Linked DNA regions of Sus scrofa. The protein of the gene in region 4 interacts with the protein of the main gene of each other region in a pairwise test. Links are inferred from orthologs where the notes say so. Each region holds a gene or a part of one and is shown on either strand. Other genes may lie near its edges.

Evidence for each region. The genes of interacting proteins can lie anywhere in the genome.
Region 1: the proteins of PTN (region 4) and TAF1D interact in a two-hybrid assay, tested with the Homo sapiens proteins (2 studies listed by BioGRID and IntAct). The link is inferred for Sus scrofa from reciprocal best matches to the Homo sapiens genes PTN and TAF1D.
Region 2: the proteins of PTN (region 4) and SGTA interact in a two-hybrid assay, tested with the Homo sapiens proteins (2 studies listed by BioGRID and IntAct). The link is inferred for Sus scrofa from reciprocal best matches to the Homo sapiens genes PTN and SGTA.
Region 3: the proteins of PTN (region 4) and CHD3 interact in a two-hybrid assay, tested with the Homo sapiens proteins (2 studies listed by BioGRID and IntAct). The link is inferred for Sus scrofa from reciprocal best matches to the Homo sapiens genes PTN and CHD3.

Annotation. Positions count from the first base shown.
Region 1 is NC_010451.4:26,163,837-26,168,944, forward strand, and holds the start of TAF1D (TATA box-binding protein-associated factor RNA polymerase I subunit D), read right to left. Parts: upstream 3,447-5,108; 5' UTR 3,296-3,446; intron 1,539-3,295; 5' UTR 1,438-1,538; coding exon 1,379-1,437; intron 115-1,378; coding exon 1-114. UniProt on the Homo sapiens protein: Component of the transcription factor SL1/TIF-IB complex, which is involved in the assembly of the PIC (preinitiation complex) during RNA polymerase I-dependent transcription.
Region 2 is NC_010444.4:75,877,381-75,882,577, reverse strand, and holds the start of SGTA (small glutamine-rich tetratricopeptide repeat-containing protein alpha), read right to left. Parts: upstream 3,447-5,197; 5' UTR 3,391-3,446; intron 3,373-3,390; exon of another isoform or gene 3,352-3,372; intron 1-3,351. UniProt on the Homo sapiens protein: Co-chaperone that binds misfolded and hydrophobic patches-containing client proteins in the cytosol. Mediates their targeting to the endoplasmic reticulum but also regulates their sorting to the proteasome when targeting fails.
Region 3 is NC_010454.4:53,137,525-53,142,486, reverse strand, and holds the start of CHD3 (chromodomain-helicase-DNA-binding protein 3), read right to left. Parts: upstream 3,447-4,962; 5' UTR 2,923-3,446; coding exon 2,829-2,922; intron 2,514-2,828; exon of another isoform or gene 2,499-2,513; coding exon of another isoform or gene 2,399-2,498; intron 1,839-2,398; coding exon 1,726-1,838; intron 1,253-1,725; coding exon 1,082-1,252; intron 809-1,081; coding exon 684-808; intron 1-683.
Region 4 is NC_010460.4:12,218,307-12,223,297, reverse strand, and holds the start of PTN (pleiotrophin precursor), read right to left. Parts: upstream 3,499-4,991; 5' UTR 3,252-3,498; intron 3,242-3,251; exon of another isoform or gene 2,724-3,241; intron 1,553-2,723; exon of another isoform or gene 1,491-1,552; intron 1-1,490.

The DNA of each region.
Region 1 (5,108 bases), on a different chromosome or scaffold from region 4:
ACAGGTGAGTAAATATATTTTCTAATAGGGTTTCTTTGCCTCTGTTTAGGTGGATTAGGTGGATTAGGAACACACTGAGTTTTAAATAAGCTGCTTCCAGAGGAAGAGCTGTCACTAGGGGAAAAAAAAAAAAGGAAAAGTTTTTTTGGGGTTGTACCTGCAGCATGCACAAAAGTTCCAGTGCCAAGGACCAGATCTTTACCTGCTAAGATAAGGGAACACCGGGGAACTCCCCCCCTCAAAAGGGCGGGGGGGAATTGCACTCATATATTACCAATGCTTATTATGAGTATTTTTACAAATCAAAGCAGGAAAACATACTCCAGATGAAAAAATGGTCTCAGTAGCAGCCAACCACTTAATTCTGACCACTCTACCTCAAATGGCCCATGCCATGTGGCATAATGCCAAGCACTTACCAAAAAATGATCTTCTAAGTTCCAAAGGCAGCCTTGTTGACTGCTAGAGCCTCCACTAAATAAGACAAAGTCTCCTCTAAGTAAAAAGAGTAGCCCTAGTAGATACCTGATGTGAATATACTAGAAATGCTGATTTGATTTCCCAGTGAGATCAATGGATTAGGTAACTGGTTATCTCCATCATACATAAACCAGCATCCTTAATAATGTGAAATATCAGAATATCCATTCTCTTGTTACACAACAGAATGATTTAGTCAGGAAAATACCAATTTGGCCCAGAGAATACACTCCTGATTTGATTCCCTGGGTTACAAACACGTCCCACTATTCCAAAGTAGTTAAAGCGAAAGTCTGTGGAAACTGGGTTTTCCTTTTTTTCCAATTCTTAAAAATTACCTTACAAACTATTCATTATCTACAATGATGCATGCTATCACAGCAATTCCAATACAGTAAACATTATCACCTAGTCTGTTCCCAGGAAAACCTGGTGGTAGTTAACTGAGAAATAAAAACACTGCCTGCTCTATCAGTAAGCAAAGGATGTCAGTCATCAGTGATTTCAGCCACCTCCGATGGTGAGCTGGTGAGCCCTGAGCGAACACAGGCAAGAAACACCTGCCAGCCAGCAGCCACACCATATAGTGAGCCCTGAGGAAACTCAGGATGGAAAAACAGGGGATACTGGCTAGAGACAGCTGAGGTGCACATCAAAGACGTTATTTCAGTGAACCCAGACCTTGGCATCTTCTCATACAAAGACATGTGCTGAATTCCTTAACTTGAGGTTATCTGCCCTTCGTTACAGGACCCTCCCCTTGTCACCCTGCAAGAGTTCTCTCTGGGTTACTTGAGATGCTGCCTCCTAGACTTAAATCCTCATTTTGCCCCAAATAAAACTTAACTCACAGTTGTGCATATTTTTTATGTAGACATTTTTTTAGAAAAACACTTACCTTTGATTCTCAATTTCCAAAGCTGAATCAGAAACTGTTGTACAATTGTGAGAATCCATCTTGATATATAGTCTTCAAGCTCCTCTCAAAATTGTCACTTGTCCTTTGCTTTAAACAGACTTCTGACCATATGAAATCTGGTAGATGTGATGTAGTTTCCCTGAACAAATAAATGCCAACAAAACAGCTAGGATCAGAGTAATGCAGATATTGATGTAGTCAATTACGAAAATTAAGACAAAAATGAATGTAAGGCCTTTAATATTCTCATATACAACTGTCTAATTCTAACATCTAAAGATTTTATTCATGGGTTCTTTCAGTTGTGCCTACTTAATCCATCCTATAGAACAAGATTCCAGATTTCCTACAGGAGTGTCAAACTTCTTTTCCCTAACAGTAAAAATGTAATTTTTACCCTTAGCCATACAGTCATGTAGTTACAAATAGTAATGTTCAATTAATGGCCAAAAAGCCATTTGCCAACAGTGGTGGGAACCAAGAAATCTCTTGCATAACAAAGATTAAGTCCCACAAAGGCAGCCTTTGGCCTCAGTATACCCAGAAAAATTATTTGGACTTACCTAAACCTAACCTTCAGGTCTGCAATTTTCATTTATGGCCTCTTTCCCTCACTAGATTTTAAGTTACTGTGAAACCCCTTCCTTGATAAATTACTTCTTTGCTACTATGGGTGTTAACCCAAAGTTCTGAATTCTCACTTTTCAATGTACAGACTACAATAAATGGTGCCCTTTGTCTCCTTTAAAAAAAAATCTCCTTGGAAGATTTTACAGTAGTTTGGGAAAAGTATTAAAGATGTCTTATTTTGTTCTGTTTCATTTCCTTATGAGGATGTCATCATTCTTCATTTTTTTGTGGTGTTCTTAGTCTAACATTCTTAGTAATGACACATGAGTAATGATGAAAGAAATCCTTCAGCAGCAGTATTTGAAATCTAAGAAATCAATAAGATCACCTAGATCTTAAATTCACAATGTCTCATGGACTCGTGTGATAATTTCATAGTGTTTTATTGCAGTTTTCAAAACTGCGTTAACCTAAGAAATAAATCATGAAAACAGCCTAAAAAAGAAATTCAACAAAAACTGGATCCAATGGCAATGATGGAATACCTGACATTAAGTTTAAAATAATTACAGAGCACACTATCAAAATTAAGTAAGCTTAACTCAAAAATGTTTTTCAAGAGTTTCTATTGTGGCTCAGTGGGTTAAGGACGGGACGCTGTCTCCGTGAGGATGCGGGTTCAATCCCTGGCCTCACTCAACGATCCCGCGTTGCTGCAAGCTGCTTGGGTCACAGATCCAAATCGGATTCTGCATGGCTGTAGTGTAGGCCGGCAGCTGTAGCTCCGGTTCAACCTCTAGCCTGGGAACTTCCATATGCTGCGGGTGTGGGGATAAAAATAAGAAAAAAAAACTTTCGGGAACTAGAAAGCATTCCTATCGCTTCCTGTTCCGGGATTCTGCAACAAGGGGCCACGGAGCCAGGCAGTGCTCTTTAGCAGCTTTAACAAAATCCCTTCAACTCTTACTTAGTGCGACCTTGGGGCGAATGTCTCCAGAAGTGCCTAACCTCGTGCAAGGAAAATGGCGTCGGTAACGGTTACCTCGCACTTAACCACCACTAATTGAGAAAACGTGCACTCGCTTCAATACACTTGCACTTCAACACCCACAACTCCGATAACGGCCCACGCGCTTAGCCTGTACCTGTGAGTCCTGCCGCCCAGAGCAGAGCCCACAATCACCGCGAGCCCTCCGCTCCCGCTGAGCCGCGCAGGCGTCCCGGGAAAAGTGAAAAGCGCCAGGCCCTCCCCCTCCTTCGCCCACAAGGCCCCGGCGCCCAAGTCCTCTTTCCTATCCGTCCAGACCGCGGACGGCTTATACCAACCTGTGCCCGCTCTGCGCACGGGTCTCCGTTGGCGTCCTCGGTTGCAGCCCCGGCCTCAGAAACCCGCGTTGGGCGCGCAGGCCCAGAAAACACCCAACCTCCACAAACGCGCGGAAGAAAAGGCTGGGCTAGTCCCGCGTCCCAGCTAATAGTGGCCCCGAAGTCTCGCGATAACAATTTGACTGCAGGAAATAACAGAGAGATAGGAGAAAACCAGACGCGGCGCTCCATATTGGCTGCCGCGAGGGGCGGGGCGATTTAGAGTGGGCGGGACCTGAGCTTTTTAACCCAGGGGAGGCGGACTTGACTGAGGCCAGGCCAGGCTTCTGGTGTACGCGTCCTGAACCGGTAAGGTAAATGGAATAGTCAAGAACGTTTGGGCAAACTATGAAAAAGAAATTGTGGGGGCAGGGGAACGGAATGAATGTGAACTGCGAGGAAGAGCCACTTCTCCTGCTTTGACTCCAGTGGTCTCCCTTTGCTGAGCTGTCCTCCGACTTTCCAAAGTCTGATTCCGGGTGTGTGTGTTTGTGTGTGTGTCTACTTTTGCCTTCAAAAATCTCTTCTGTGTAAAATTGTGAGAGGATCATGCTGTGACTGAGAATCGAAATGTGTAACCTTTGTACTAGAAGCCATTGTTATCCAGTTACGCACTCAGTTCCCTCTCCACCTTCGGACTTGTTTTGTTAACTCAGTCTTTCTTTTGGAACTAAGGGTCAGCCTCCCAGGAGGTGGTTAACACATCGCAAGAGATGCCAGCGGGGGCCTTTTTTTTTTTTCTTTTTAGCCCTCTTAGTTCCCTGAGCGGTAAATGAGTGTTAAGGTAGAAGTTAAACTAGTTTAGTTTTGGTGGCAATTTTTTCCCCCGAAGTAGTTACAAAAAAGGAATGAGCTGTCCTGATTTGTCTACTTTCAGACCTCTTGTATCATATAATAAAACCAGGAAAGCTGTCTCGTGTTAATTTGTGGTTAGTGTCATCTCGGGATAGGACAGACCTGGAAGGTAATCAGGTTTCTTTACTCAATTTTTCTCTAAATGTTGTTCTAAATTCCAGGCGCAGAAAGTCTGGTTTTCTAGGCATTATGAAGTACTGTCAGCTCCAGGACAGGTATCACATGTCTTAGTCACTGCTATATTCCTAGGCAGGCCTGCATATGCAGTTTGTGAAGCTCAGTACAAAATGAAAATGCATGTATTTTATATGCATAACTGATTCACTTTGCTGTAAACCTGAAGCTAATAAACATGGTAAATCACATATACCCCAATAAAATTTTATTCTATTTTATTTATGTTTTTTAGGGCTGCAGGTGCAGCATATGTAAGTTCCCAAGCTAGGGATCCAATCAGAGCTACAGCTGCCAGCCTACACCACAGCTGCAGCAACATGGGATCCAAGCCACATCTGCTGGATCCCCAACCCACTGAGTGAGGCCAGGGATCAAAACCTGAGTCCTCATGGATACTAGTCGGGTTCATTTCCACTGCACCACAACAGGAACTCCATAAAATTTTAAGAAAGAAAGAAAATGCAGGGTCTTGTTCAAAAATCTGGGGGAAAATGCCGTTAAAGTTACTGAAGTACAAGCTGTCCCCTTTCTTCTGTAGCATCTCTTTTGACTTGTCATGGTGTTTTAATTAATAGCATTAATTTGCTATTTATTGTCATTCTAGGTAAAGAAAAATTAAACATTTGAATCAATAGCATGAGTTTTACCACTCTTTATATTGTCCAATGCTAGCTTTAAATACAGACATCAGAATGTTTGAGTCATCTGCAGAAGCATTGCACATACTCCACGGTCCTTTCCA
Region 2 (5,197 bases), on a different chromosome or scaffold from region 4:
CTGGGCATTGCAGGGTGCCAAGCAGCACCCCTAGTCCCCACCCTCTTCAATGCCAGGAGCCTCCTGCTCACTGGTGACAACCACAAAAGTCTCCAGATGTCACCAAACCACCCCCAGCTGACAATGAGCAATAAACATCACGTGGGAAAAATGAAGGTAGGCACAGATCAGATTTTCTGGCCAATGACTTGGCTGCAAACTTTTGGCAAACCCCAAGTTTGGAGAGTATTTTCGGTCTCAGAACTGCAGGAAAGGGCCTTTGAATCCACAGTAGGGACTCAGCACCTACTGGACACAGGCGTCCCCAGAGGACTTCCGCTCTCCTCCCCCGTGGCACAGACTCTCTTTGCTCCCTCATTGCCTTCCTGCTCCTGGTGGCCCAGTGAGGCGAAGATGCGCTTTTCCACTGGGCCCTGGGGACTGAGGAACAATCACGACTTGTTGGGTTCTGTGAGGCTCAGGAGGAACCCCAGGTGCTGGTCTGCAGGTGAGAGCCTGGCTCGGGGACAGAGGCTGGCTCACCTTTTCATCTTATTATTAAAAACACCCCATTCCTTTTGTTTCCCTGCCCAAAACTGAACATTCGAAGGGGAAGATGCATGCCTCACTAAGATGAGTGAGCCGGGGAGTTCCTTTGTGGATCATCAGGTTAAGGATCTGGCATTGTCACTTATCAGGTTAAGGATCCTGGGTTGCTGCCGTGGTGTGAGTTCAACCCCCAGCCCGGGAACTTGCACATGCCACCGGCACAGCCAAAAAAAATTAAATAAGTAAAAATGTAAATTAAAAAATTAAAAAAGAAATAAATATGAGTGACCTGGACCTGGGCCCCAGGAAAGAACATCCTCTTTCTGAGTGGCTGCCCGGTCCCACCTCCACCCCAAATCTAGCTCTTCTCACAAACACCTGGTGTGTGCTAGCTTGTCCTCTGCTCCTCCCTCCCCTCCCCGGACACCTTAGATCCTCAGAAGAGGGCCATCCCGAAAGCTGGAACTCCATCTCAAGCCTGCTCTCCACACTGCAAACCTTCCATGGCTCCCTGAAACCTCCTGAGTGGAAACCCCACCAAAGCCCCCATGCTCTGCCTACACCCAACCCTCTCCTCTCCTCCCGTCACCAGGGACCATACACTTTCCCTTCAACCAAGCCGGTAGGTCACCTCCTCAGACAGAGCTAGACACCCTCCTCCTCCAGCAAGCTCAAGTGCCAGCCCTGCCTCTGGCCCAGCATCTCCTACAAGGCCTTCCAGCCTATTCCTGGCCTGCCCACCACCCACAGACTGTGAGCCATTGGACGGATCACCTTCTCCAGTCCATATGGACTCAGGAAAATTTTGGATCCCTGTCATGTTCAGAGCCACGTGGCCAGGTTCACTTGGGAGATCATTTCTCTTGGGTTTCCTCGTCAGTAGAGAACGACAAATCCGTATTTGTCCACCTATCAGCCGTCCCCTTTATTCTTTCACTTTCAGGTGCATTGGCTACAGGGGCCAGCATTGGGTCTTGGCAAAAAAACAAAAATAAAAAATTAGAAGTTCCCACTGTGGCGCAGTGGGAACCAATCAGACTAGGAATCATAAAGTTGCAGGTTCGATCTCTGGCCTTGCTCAGTGTGTTAAGGATCTGGGTGTTGCCATGAGCTGTGGTGTAGGTTGCAGATGTGGCTCGGTTCCCGAGTTGCTGTGGCCCTGGTGTAGGCCGGCAGCTGTAGCTCCGATTCCACCCCTAGCCTGGGAACCTCCATATGCTGTAGGTGTGGCACTAAAAAGAAAAAAAAAAAAATTAGAAAATGCAGGAACCAAGTAAGAACAGCTCTTAATCCAGGTCAGAGCTTAACCCGATCCAGAGCCATGGGAGAATGAATTATAAACCTCAGGTGAAATTCCTGGAGTGTTCAGGACTTTTCATGCCCTGACCCGAGTGCTGTATATGCAAAAGCTTATTTCAGGGGTCAGCAAAACATTTTCTGAAAAGGGCCAGCTTCTCAGGCCACAGGTAACACGTCTGTGGTATGTGGGCTGTGTTCCCACAAAATCTTTCACTAAAACAGACTGCAGGGTGACCTGACCCCCCCGGTTACAGTTTGTTTAATCTAACTCATTCTATAGAACAAAAAAATGAGGCTTTTAAAGATGGGGGTGCCACCCAAGGTCACCCAGCTAAAATGCAAATCAGTTCTAAATGGTCTGATTTCAGAGTCTGAACTCCAAGATACCCGTTCCTCAACCACAAAAGTGGGCACACACACAAAACCTTGCACGTGACTTCTCAGGGGCTCACACACCCCTTGCCTCTGTGCAGCAAGCACACTGGTGAAGAATCACTAGTCTAGGGTTGGATTCTGCTTTGGCACCATGGACATCTGGGGCCAGACTGTTCTCTGTGGGCCCATCCTGGGTACTGTGGGGTATGGGGCAGCATACATGGCCCCCACCCCCTCGGTGCCAGGAGCACCCCCAGTTGTGACAGCCACAGATGTCCTCAGACATTGCCTAGTGTCCGCTAAAAGGACAAAACCACTGGTCTAGGGAGAGGAAAAGCAAACCAAACACCAAAAAAAATAAGAACATCACTCAGCAGGGATGCAGAGCGCACACACTTCCAGCCACTTAACAAAACCAGTTGTCGTCTAGGAAGACAAGTAGCAGGAACCCGATTAAAGAATGCTCCAGGTGTACTTAACCTCACAATGACCCTAAGAAGCATACACTTCTACAGTCCCTATTCTAAAAGGAAAGGGCTGGGGGAGACGGATAGCGACTTGCCCAAGAGGCCACAGCCAGCAGGGGTGGAGGACCTAGTCTTCAACCCCAGATTTGTCTCACTTCAGCACACCATGCAGAGGCCCTCAGTGTGAAAAAAGACCCCTCCTGTGTTCTCACGTTGCGCTGGGGTCTCTGCGACTTTAATTCTCATGGGAAGCCCCCCAATCCTAGGCAGAGGCTGTGACAACGCCTGTTTTACAGAAGGGGAAACTGAGGTTCCGAGACGCCAAGAGACTGACCAAGGTGGAGGCGGCGCTGGGACAGGAACCCCGACCTGAACCCCAGGAACAGAGGGACTCCGGCTTAAAAGAACCGTGTTTCCGGGAAGCAGCGGCCACTCGGCGAGCGCTTACTACGTGCGGGGCGCTTTACCTCCTGCTATCCACTCACGGACCTGCGAACCCGCATTTCCCGGGCCTAGGGTCCAGGGGAGGGAGATCCCGGCGGGCAAAGGCCCGCCCGATACCTCCTGCCCTCAGTTTCCCTCCGCGCTGCTCACTCACAACACTCCCCCAATTGCGGCGTCCCCGCCCCAGATCGACGTCCTCTTACCCACCCCGGAACCCCAGGAGCCCCGAGCCACTGACCCCAGGTACATCCGGCTCAGCGCCGAACCCGCGACTCACCTCTCAAGCAGCCGAACCCGGACCCACCGACGGCGGCGCCTGCGCACCGCGGCACTGCCCGGCCCCGCCCCCAGCCCCGCTCCGCCCCCAGCCCCGCAGCCTGCGCAGAAGGAGCCGGTGGCCGCTGGATTTCATTCTGCGCAGGCGCACCAATTATCAAGGCGGGAGTAGGAGGAAGTGACGTAATGTAGAGGCGGGAACGAGCTCGTCGTTAGGGCAACTGACCTCTGCGACCGAACGGAGGCCGGAAATCCGGATCAACTTGTCCTCTAGGCCGAAATGGAGCGGTGCATGGTGGGACAGTGGTGGACTCTTGTGGGTCGGCCGAGCCCGTCACGTGGCACCGTGTCCGCCACGTGGTGCACCTGCTGCTTTTGGGTATCTGGCGCCCAGAGGATCACAGGCGGTCTTTGAGTGGGGGCGACTGTTACCCTCTCACTGTATTTATTCATATATTCACCCACCCAAACATCCGCGAGTTCGTTATTTCATTCATTCAATCCATAAGAATGAATACTAAGATATTTGTTTACAGTAGGTGCATAATAGTAAACAAGTATTTATTACACACAAACTATAAAGACCAGCAAAACTTTTGCTTTCATTACCTTGTATTGGGGTACACAGACAATAAACTGGTAAACTAATACGTAAATGAACAAGTTCTACTTAATGGCAAGCACTGTGTAGAAAAAAATGGGGTGTTCTGATTGTGATTGGGGCGGTAAATTTGTTGGGTTGGTTAGGGAAGACCTCTGTTTCACATGTAGATTTGGAGAACTGGGAAAACACTCCAGGTACAGGGAACAGCAAAAATGAAGACTAACGTAGGATTACGCTGGATGTGCTCAAGAGAGAAAGAAATCGAAGGTCAGTAATGAGACATTCCCTATTAAATGACCACCATTAGCATTCAAGTTGCCAGAGTGTTCTCCCAATTCATTTTTTTTTTTCCTAATTCATTTTTATTCAACTTAAAATGCATGTACTCAACACCCTGGGTTTACTCAACACCCTGGGTTATTTTCATTTATTTTGCAGAAATAAAAGACGTAGGTTTAGGGACCAGTTTTAATTTTCTTAGGTTTTTCTTTCTGTGTGCCTTAGACGGTTCAAGGTGTTTTTTGTTTTTTTTTTTTAACTGACAATACTACATGCAGGTAAGGCACAGTTCCAACACACCTGTTGTTTGAAGTTCTGCATCGGTTTACTGAAGCTTTCTCAATGATGCTTGCTTACATTTCTGCTTTTTAAATAAATGTCTTCTTAATTTGGTTGTCTAACTGGATTCAGCTGGTATATGTGGAGGACCTTTAACCATTAGATGCTAGAAGATGAGCAGGATGTTGGTAATGGAATAAGTGCCTGAGGTTTCGTAAGCGACCACTAACGGAGCGCCTTAGGTGAAGGTAAAAACTTGCAAAACTAGCCAAATACACAATTAAGGTTGGGAGGAGGTAATGACAAATTAATACAGGAGCTAGAAGCCCAAACGAACGACTGGCACAAAGAGCCGCAGAAAAGATTCGAGGCGCCTGCGGGGTGGGTTCCCCTGGAAACACCTCCCCCGCTAGCCTTCCCGAAGGCTCCGCCCTCTCACCACTAAGAGCCAATGATGGACGGGGGTGGTTCAAGCGACCGCGCAGAGGAAGTCTGCGCCCCTGCGCTCCGCCTCGCGATGTAGGTGGGGCTAGGGCGCGCGCTTGCGCCCTACTATCCAGCACACACGCTCTCCCAGCATCCGGTGGGCGCGCGGGCGGCGGGCGCCTCAGTCGGGACAGCTGCGGCAGCAGAGAGGACCGAGGCT
Region 3 (4,962 bases), on a different chromosome or scaffold from region 4:
AGGCACTGGGCATACTGGGCTTTCAACCATTATCCCATCAAATCCCCACAAGATCCCATGAGGTGCGTCCTCTGGGTGTGCCTATTTTACAGATGCGGAAACTAAAGATCCAAGAAGTGAGTGGAACCAGATGCCATCAGGACCTGAACCCCAGTAGGCTGCCTCCAGAGCATGAAACTGCTCTGCTGAAGTGCCTGCTTCCTCAAAAGGCATCTGTGCTGTGCTCTACTCTACTTCAGGAGCGCTGACGCTCAGGTCCCACTGTCAGCAATGCCTCCTCCATCACTGCTGGTGTCTAAGGAAGGGACAGATGGCTAGATCCCTGAGCAAAGGACACTGGGGGACACGAATGTTCTCTCTCCACTCCAGTCTAGACAGAAGTCAGCCAGGGGAAACTGCTGGAGCAGGAGGCCATCAGTCCTCCCTGAGTCTGTCACTACAGTTTTCTAACCTGGCAGTGGAACTGTGTCCCCCCCCCCCCCCCCCAGTGAAGGGTTCCTGACTGGAGTCCTTGGATCCTCAGGAGCCCAGGAATTTCCTGAGATGACATGCGGAATTTGATGTGTACATGCTGTGAATTTCTCTGGAGAGCAGTTTCTTATCTTCCACCAGGTTCCAGAGGGATCCAGGGCCTCCCCCTATTAAATGTGTCTGCTCGCAGGGACTCCCCAGTCCTACCGCACCTCATGAACTGGCTGAAGGCTTTGTAGTTGGTGAGAGTGTGGTAGTCCTCTTCGGAGAACACATGCTCCACGTCCTCCAGGCCCCAGGTCAGAAGCAGGGTTGCTGACGACTTCTGCTCCACCTGCTGGAGAGACCGGGCTTCCGTGAGGAGGGCGCCTCTCCAGCCCCAGTCCTGGACCCCCACATGCTCCTCTACACACCCAGGCACCCAGCAGGGGCACCCAGCAGCCTCCCGAGGCTTTCTGCCCCTGCCCCCTTCCCAGCCGGCTCCCCTCCTCCCCAGGGGAAACTAGACTTTCCACTTAGCATCTGCTCGTCCCCTCGCTCAGGGCTTTCCCTCCTCCGCCTCCACCTGTCAATGATCCTAATTCTCCCCTCACGCCCTAAATCTACTCACCTTTTGCCCTCCATCTCCCTCCCCTTTTTTCCGCCGCTTTGTCTTTTTCTCCTTTTTTTCTCGGTGCTTCCTTCTCCGTTTCCGACCGGGTCCGGTTCCATATTCACTGCCTCCACTCTCCGACTTCTCCCGGTACTCATCTCGCTCAGAGCCAAATTCCTCCTCGCTGTCCTAAGGGAGAGAAATAAAAATAGAATTTCTTTAGCCCTACCATGTGCCAGAAACTTTTCTAAGCACGTAACGTGTGCTGTCTCTTTCAAACCTCACAACGACCCCATGAGATAGTAACTTATCTATTTCTACCCACTTTTTGCAGATGAGGAAACCGAGGCACAGAGAGCCAAGCGAACTGCTCGAGAAGACAGAGGACTACGGGGCTCGGAATTCATGCAGTCTCCTGCCGGAGCCTGGGCTTTCACCTGCTCCTCTCTCCTCCAAGGCCAGTCACGGGGCCCACAGGGCTCCCCACTAGGATGCAGTGAGGGAGGCTAGGGTGCCAGAGCCCAGCTGAGGGGGCTGCGTAGAGGGGGTCAGGCCTTCCCGACTTCAGGATCCCCCCCTGGTAATCAGGACCAGAGGAAGCGCAGGCCTCTGCAAATGGGTCCCCGGGCCTAGCTGTAGAGACAGGAGTCCTGCACACTTACAAGCTTCTTGCGTTTTCGGGGTTTCCCTGGCTTGTTCTCCTTCTGCTTCTTGGGTCCTCGTTTTCTCTTCTTCACACCCAATGCTGAAGGCAGCAGCCGAATGTCATCTTTATCTTTGGAGCAGAGGGCACCAGAAAACTTAAGTCTCTATGTTCCCAGGCTCTGCGGCCCCTCCACTGCCTCACCTCCTAGGTTCTCACTCTCTAGGAACTCCCAGCATTAACTCTTCCAAATCCTGCCGCCCTTCGCTGGATGCACCCGAGTGTTTCGAGTACTCTGGGATGCTCGGATTCTGAATGGGAGGTCAGGGGTCAGAAGGGAAGAGCAGCCAAACCACTCCCTCCTCTCCCCTCCTACTAACAAGGGACCAGGCTCTAGGCCACGGGCTCTGACTGTGGCAGGTCCTTTTAGTCGCCGCCAGGGCTCCTCCTGCCTTCCCCCTCACTTAGCCAGCTGGCATCCTGCCCAGGAACTGGGGAAGCCATGCCCAGCTGCTGGCCTGGCCTGACCCCAGCACTTGGAGTGGGGAGACACAAGCTGGCAGCTCCCTAAGCCAGATGCTGAGAAGGCAGAGCCAAAGGTGGACACCTGGATTCTCACGCTAACACCCTGGGGCCCTGACATGCTTTTTGTGAGGAGGGAGGCCTCTATTTATAATTCCTCAGAGAGTCACCAAATCTCCTGTCACCCCAGCACAGCCCTGGAGGAAAAGAAATCCTCAGCCAGTCATGCCCACTTCTTGCCCACAGGATGGCGGGGTCTGGCTCCTGCATCACCACCGTCACCCCATAGGAGAAGAGCTCCACAATTACCTAAACATTCCTCCTCCTCCCAAGCAGCCTGGAATCCGCTTCAAATCTATTTTCACATCCCTGAGAACTCAGGGGCCCTACCCTTTGTCCTCTGGTCTCACCCCTTGTCTTCAAATTTAGTCCCAGACATTCTGACCCGTTCCTATGTCAAGAGTGTGGGAGACCCAAACAAAGATACTGGACCCCACCCACGGCACGCACATGCTCAAATGCTGAAGCCTCACACACACACACACACACCACACACACACACACACACGTAGGAGCACAAACCCTGAAGACAGCCTGTACCTGCTTCCCGCAGGGCTAGGGCCCTGGCTTTCTCTCCAGATGTTTCTGTCAGAGAGGCTGGGGCTGCTTCTTCCCAGATGTCCCCCCACCTCATTCTCCATGACCCCTGCCAGTCTGTGGTGGCTTAGGCGACAGAGCATAACTCCACCAGGAGGAAGACGCTGATGGATGCCACCCAGACATGAGGCCCTGCTTGGCCTCCCTCCTCCAGCAGGCACCAGACTAACCAGCCAGACCTGTCTTACTCAGGCAGAGGCAGCTGTGCAGGAGAGGAAAGCCTGGGCCTGGCCCAGCCCCTTGCTCTGGGACACACAATCCTTCCTCCCACACCAGCCAAGGGAAAATTAGCCACAATTAACACCGGAGGCCTCGGTTTCCATTGCCTCAGAATCCTGGCACCTCCTTCCTTCAGTGCTGCTTCTCCTAGTCCTGGGCCCTCCCCAGCAGGGAGACACTCTAAGACTGGGGTGGGGGTGGGGGGGCGCGTGAGGGCAGCCCGGGCACTGAGTGGGGCCTGCAGGAGGAAGTCAGTAAAACGCCGGTGCCCAGCAGCCAGCGCTCCCTAACCCCGGGGACTTCGGTTAATAAGAACATGGAAATGGAGGCTGCCGGGGCAGTGGCAAGGGCAGGCCAACTGGCTAAGGATCAGGGAAATGGCCCCGCCTCCGCCCGCGGGGGGGGGGGGCACAAGCCCTGGGACCTCACAGCCAGTTAACTCCCCCCCACCCCCGCCGCGCGCCCCCCGCCGCCCGGCAGGAGGTTCCCGAGGCTGGGCAGGCGGCGGCGGCGCGGAGAGGCAAGGGAGACGGCGAGGAAGGGGAGGGCAAGAAAGCAAATCTAAGTCCCAACCTCTGTCTCACCAGCCACTCAATGCTGGCCCGGAGCCCAGACGCTCCCACATCCCGGCTCGGATCTCGGGAAGACGGCGAGGGAGGAGGGCGGCGAGGAGGGCGGGCGGAGCCTGGCAGCCCAGAAAGCAGGAGGAGCCCGGCCGAAAGCCTCGCCTCCCGCCCGCCCCTCTCTTCTTCTAATCTCACCATCAATCTCTCACACATATATTTATTTTTTCTCAAATTCCTCTCCCTCCCCCACAACGAACCACCATAATAGGTCGGCTGCACATGCGTAGTGCCTGCAGGGGGTGGGTTTGTATTTTCAGACCTTTTGCAAAGAAACTACCAGAATTTTCCGCACCACCCACACGCATTCCCCACCCCCACCCCCAAGGAATCACATCTATATATTATGTTATATTATTTCTCTAGACTTGCCAGAAGGGGGAGGGAGAAGAAATGAGTTTTTGGCTTCCTGCTCCCTTCCCCCATCTGCACGAGCGCTATTATTTTAAACGTCTAACAATGTAAGGAGCCTGGAGAGGGGGAAGGGATAAAATTGGTCTTGGGTAAGAATGTAAAACAAAATGGTGAGAATCAAAGCAGTCGGAATGAAAAAAAAAAAAAACAATAGAAACCTCTAACACGGATAAATTCATCTCCTAGAGAAGGACGAGGGAGGGCAGCCTGAATACATTTGCCTCAGAGGAGGGTTATTTTGCCCACGCTTCTGTAGACAGAAATAATGGGCAGACCGAAAATATTTTCCTGAAGTTTTACCTCAGAAAGTCATCTGAGGGGGTGTATCCGGGTCCCCCGTTTGACTTGGAGGGCTGAGAGGGACATAAAATTGCCCTGGGAGAGAGAGGAGGTGGGTTTCCATTTCCAACGCACAATTTTAAAAACATTCGACGTTGTTTAGAAAGCGGAGGGGAAGGGGGAGGGAGTACTGACACAAAGACCCATCTCGACCTCAGATCCCTTCATGCTCCCCCTCTCCCACACCCAAATCCAGGGTCAAAGCCCCCCAGACGCCACGTTCCAGGTTCGGAATACACACAGGTGAGAATAGCCAGCCCCTTAACTTCACCTGACACCCTTTCTCTTTTTAGCACCTCTGCCGTGCTCCAGGCAACCCCTTGCCCTCAATTCTTTATCCCTTTTCCCCCCTGCAAAATCAGTGGGCTCTCTGGGCAACTTTTTAAAAACTTTTCCCTTTTTCAGACAAGCCTAGGGGCCAGAGTGGGGGTAGGAGTGGACTTATCTGTTTCCATCAGACAGGCATCCCCCTCCTCGCCACC
Region 4 (4,991 bases):
CCACTCAGCATCCACCCAAGGGAACAAGAGCTGTTGGAGAGGCCTGACCCAATGGATGCTCCACAGGGAAGCCACTCTTTAAACTGCACTGACCTGTACTCAGGTGTAAACACACATGCTGCTTGAGCACCCTGGGTGGTCTCAGTTTGGGCATCACCTTTAGGAGGAAAGTCAAGGACAGCTCCCCTTCTTCCTCTGGCACCATATTTGTAGGTGTTTAGAGAACTAGAATTTGCAATCTGAATTCTAACTCTTGGCCCTCAATCTACCACTAACTTATACGTGGTTTTGAATAAGCCAACCAAACTAAGTCTCCTGAGAAAATTTTGAAGAGTAATAAAATACCACAAGTCAAATAGGAATATGATCAGAATTCATGTGAGAATGCTGTTTAAATGAGAAAGCAAGAGTGTCTTCAAAAGGAAAAAAAAATTTAAACTCAAAATATTTAATTTCGAAGATTGATTTTATTTTTGCATATGGAGGTTCCCAGGCTGGGGGTCTAATCGGAGCTGTAGCCGCTGGCCACAGCCACAGCCATGTCAGATCCAAGCCGTGCCTGCGACCTACACCACAGCTCACTGCAATGCCGAATCCTTAACCCACTGAGCAAGGCCAGGGACCGAACCCGCAACCTCATGGTTCCTAGTCAGATTCGTTAACCACTGAGCCACAACAGGAACTCCTTGAAGATTGATTTTATAATCAAAATGATTAAATGTTAAGGGACCTTATTTCTCTCAAGTTATTTCCAATAATAAGGTTCTATGAAAATTTTCTAGGATAAAAACACCAAAAATGTTCATTAAAAATGTGAGTTTTGGGTGTTCCTATTGTGACTCAGTGGTAATGAACCCAACTAGTATCCATGATGATGCAGGGTCAGTCTCTGGCCTCACTGAGTGGGTTAAGGATCTGGCATTGCCATGATCTGTGGTGTATGTAGGTCATAGATGTGGCTCAGATCCTGCATTGCTGTGGCTGTGGTGTAGGCCAGCAGCTGCAGCTCCAATTCAACCTCTAGCCTGGGAACTTCCATATGCCACAGGTGGGGCCCTAAAAAGCCAAAAAAAAAACCCAAAAAGTTGGTCCTGGGATTCCCACTGTGGCGCAGCGGGTGGTTTAAGGATCTGGTGTTGTCTCTGCAGTAGCTCCAGTAACTGCTGAGTCAGGGGTTCAGTCCCTGGCCCAGAAACTTCCATATACCTCCAGCGTGGTGAAAAAAAGGAAAAAAAAAGGTGGGTTCTGCTACATATTGCGTATGTGGGAAGACTAAATGAGGTACATGGAAATTTTTAATAAATTAGTAAATTTATTATTCCCAATACCATGGAAAGAGGTCTGTCTAGGGAACTACAGGTTATATATTGTATTCATAATATACTATAAGTATTCTTAAGTATGATATTATTTTCATTCTATATAATACCCCACTGAGAAGTCAGATAATAAAAAGTCACATATTAACAGTAGTTTCTCTTCTCTCACAGTTCTACCTTTGAGGATTTAATACATTTGTATCTACAAGCAAACAGCTGGAATACAGCTTCAGGTGGGTTCCTTATAGAGGCCTTTCACTAAATGAGAAAAAAAAAAAGTTCTAAAAGGGGCCTGGTACAGGAGGAGAGGAAAAATCACTTTCTACAGATTTAAAAGTACAATTAGAGAACTCGAAGCACCAAGGTTTATTAAAGCCCAAATAATGGCATTAGGTTTTTTGATAATAAAATAATTTTTAAAAAGCTCATCCTCTAATTTAAATCGAAAAAACAAACATAACCATTCTGAAATAATCCCAAAGGGAAGAAAATAGGTAATGTCCACACTAATTTCCTTTGAATTTAACTGGAGTATAATTTTTTTTTTTTTTAAGGATTTGGTCTTCATATAATATACTTAAAAAAGAACAGAACGATGATGGAAAATAAAAGCTTTATTTTCAATGCTGGGAGACACGTCTTTTGTTTCACTCCCATTACCTCTTATAGTATTTCAAGTATTAGTTCATCCCCAGATGATCCAGGGGCAAAAATGGGCTTTGCTGTTTCATCAACTCCACATTTGCCTGAGATCATAAAACTGCTTCATTATGTTATTAGTTCAAAAGCTCTTCTTGGTAGTTCCTGGATCTCCTCCCAGGCCCTTCCCACACACACACACACACACACCACACACACACACACACACACACACACACATCACCTTTCTCAAACCCTTAAAGCAAAATTCCTAAATAACCCCCAAGATGAAGATGAAAGATGCAGAAAGACTGCACTTTGATTTCTCTGGAAAAGTTCACTCTCCCCACTCATCACCTCCCCTCCCCCCCACATGCCACTCCTATTTTTTCAGTGTGTCCTCAAAACTATTAACAGAGGTGGGGGTGAGTAAAACTCAATGTGTCTTCTTGTGTCTGTGTTTTGTGTTAAAGAAAAAGGTGTGTGTGTGTGTGTGTTGAAGAGACAGGAAGTTTTATGTTGTGTTTGTTAAGTAGGGAAGGGAAGGAGTAGAACACATTTCTCCCTTTGAAGATATTTTAACTTATTAGAAACATCAACCAGAAACTAAGTATCTAGCAGACTAGTAATAAATATATCCTAGCTGTAGGTGAGTGAAATAAAAAGTTCAAGTGCCTCTGTACAGGGAAGTTATTAAAATTATCATTCAAATAAGAAATGGGATTCAAGGTGTGTCTTTCAAACTTTGAATGTAACCATTTCTAGAACCATTCCTGGGCTGGCAGGCAGAACAAAGAATGCCAGATGCTCTGCAAGAGATGCTCAATGTCAGCTGGCACTGGGAGGAACAAGCCCCCACTTGGTACCCAGAAATGCCAGCTAAGATGCATCAGCTGGTAAGCCCTGGGGCAATCCGGGAAGCAGAAGGATGGGAAAATGAGCCCTGCTTGCTCAGGCTGCTTACTTTCTTCTCTACCCAGCCATGGACACACCTACTAACTCCGGTTTTACAAAAAGCAAAGCTCCTGCATGTTCTCCAGCTGGACTCAGGAACACAGGCAAAATCATGCATAACATCGCATAAGCTTCTTTCCTTCCACTCATCTAAGGGCACCCTGAACTATCCTGACCTGACTTCCCCCAAATATGCCTCTGGAGCAGATCAGTTTTGAAAGCAGCCTCAGGAGTAAAGGCACCAGCAGCTTTTCACCCACTCCTGCCACGATCATCCGCTGGCACCCTGAACAGTGGCTGGAGACACCTCAGAGAAATCGCGCGTCGCCTTCCACTTACTTGGAGTTGCAAACGTGTGGTGCGCGCTCAGGCTGCCTTTGTTGATGGGGCGAGGTTTCCTGCCTGGAGTCCAGGTACCCCAGTCGCTGCTGCTCGCGGAAGCGGCTGCTCCCTGACTGCCACACGGTGACTCACAGGTCTCTTTCGTCCCCTCTCCCCACTTTGGCTTTTCCTCTGCTCTTCGGCTCCCTTGGCGGGATTTTCGGACTGGAAGGCGGGGACCCCGATCCTGCCTTGGGCTCGAGCACGCCCAGACTGGGAGGGAACGGAAGGGAAATGGAGAATGGGAGGGATGCGGGAAGCGGGCCGGGAGAGGACGCGAGCTGGGCGAGGGAGGGGGCGCGCCTGGCCCTCGCGAGCTGATTGGGAAGCTCATTAAAAGCAGGCTTCTCCAGGGGCCTCTCTCCCCGCCGGCGCCAGCACGGGGATTTGAACCCAGGGGCCAGAGCAGGAAACAAAATTTCTTTTTTCAGCAGAGACCTGGGCATTGTCTCTTTTCCCAACTTTGTGCGTGACCTCGCTTTTAGGTGGGCGCATACTCCAGCCCATGTCATATCAAGTAGGACATTTTAAACAGACACTTATGGCATTTCAGGTGACAACTTTGGTCTCAGGTGTTTGTTTTGTTTTGGTTTTGGTTTTAATGATGCTGCGTGAAAAACACAATCTTCAAAGCCAGGCTCTCATTTGCCCCCCCCCCCCCCACAGCTCCCGTCACTTCAGCTGTCAGTTCCATCCCACCTGTGAGTCACGAAATGTGCAAAGGAATTTTTTTTGCACTTGTCACAAAGAGTGACAGATGTCTGAAAGTTCCCAATGAAATGCCGCTTTCCTTTGGGGGCTCTTTCCTTTTCTGGCTTCCTTGGTGCCTTTGACACCCAAGAATTTAGGAGATTAATCAACGTCGCCCAAACTCTGAGGTTTGGAAAACCCAGAGGCTGGGCTTCCGTGGCTTTCTGTAATTTCCATTTTGTTCGAATGAGGGAAAAAGCTAAGTAATATACCTAGGATTGTTTAAGTAGCACATAGTTGAATATTTGTGATATAGATGAGATCAAATTATTGTGTAAAATATTTAAATGTAAAACCAATTTTCCCAAACAAAAAGGAAGTTTTGAGATTCTCCTCTGTTCTTTCGTTTTTCCTGCTCCTGGTCTTGCTCCCTTTACTTCCTTTTAGCTTATTATTTGGTGCCCACCCCAAAAGTGGTTGCAAAATACGTTTCTGTGTGCCGTACTTCTGAGGTTACATCCTTTCAATTCAATTTGATGAATATCTATGAAGCGCCTTATATAACTCTTAAAATTTACTTTAAACTCTACCTAAAAGCCCAAACAAGAAGCTCTGTGTTATGGGAAGTAGTTCGTAGGACTTTGGGCTGTGTGGATAAACACACCGTGGTGGGGCTACATTGGGCAGAGAGGTGTGTCTGCAAGTAGAGCTTCTCATCAATGAACTAGTCAGCCCTTTCTTTTCAAAAGGAGCAGCATCGGATAGTGACTGGCCCACCTCCAGTCTCTCCCTGTAACTAAACTCTCCATACACCTGCCTCACGCCATCTGCCAATGAAACGAATGAATAAGGAACTGTCTTCCTTCCACACACAGACTTCAGGTCACCTGTTTCCTTTTGTGATTCCAATTCCTCAATGAAGTAAAGCAATGTGGGTTTTCTTCTGATTTGGCCTGTATAAATTGTGGACGGAATGCACGTCATCATTTTTTGTTATTTTTTCCCCCA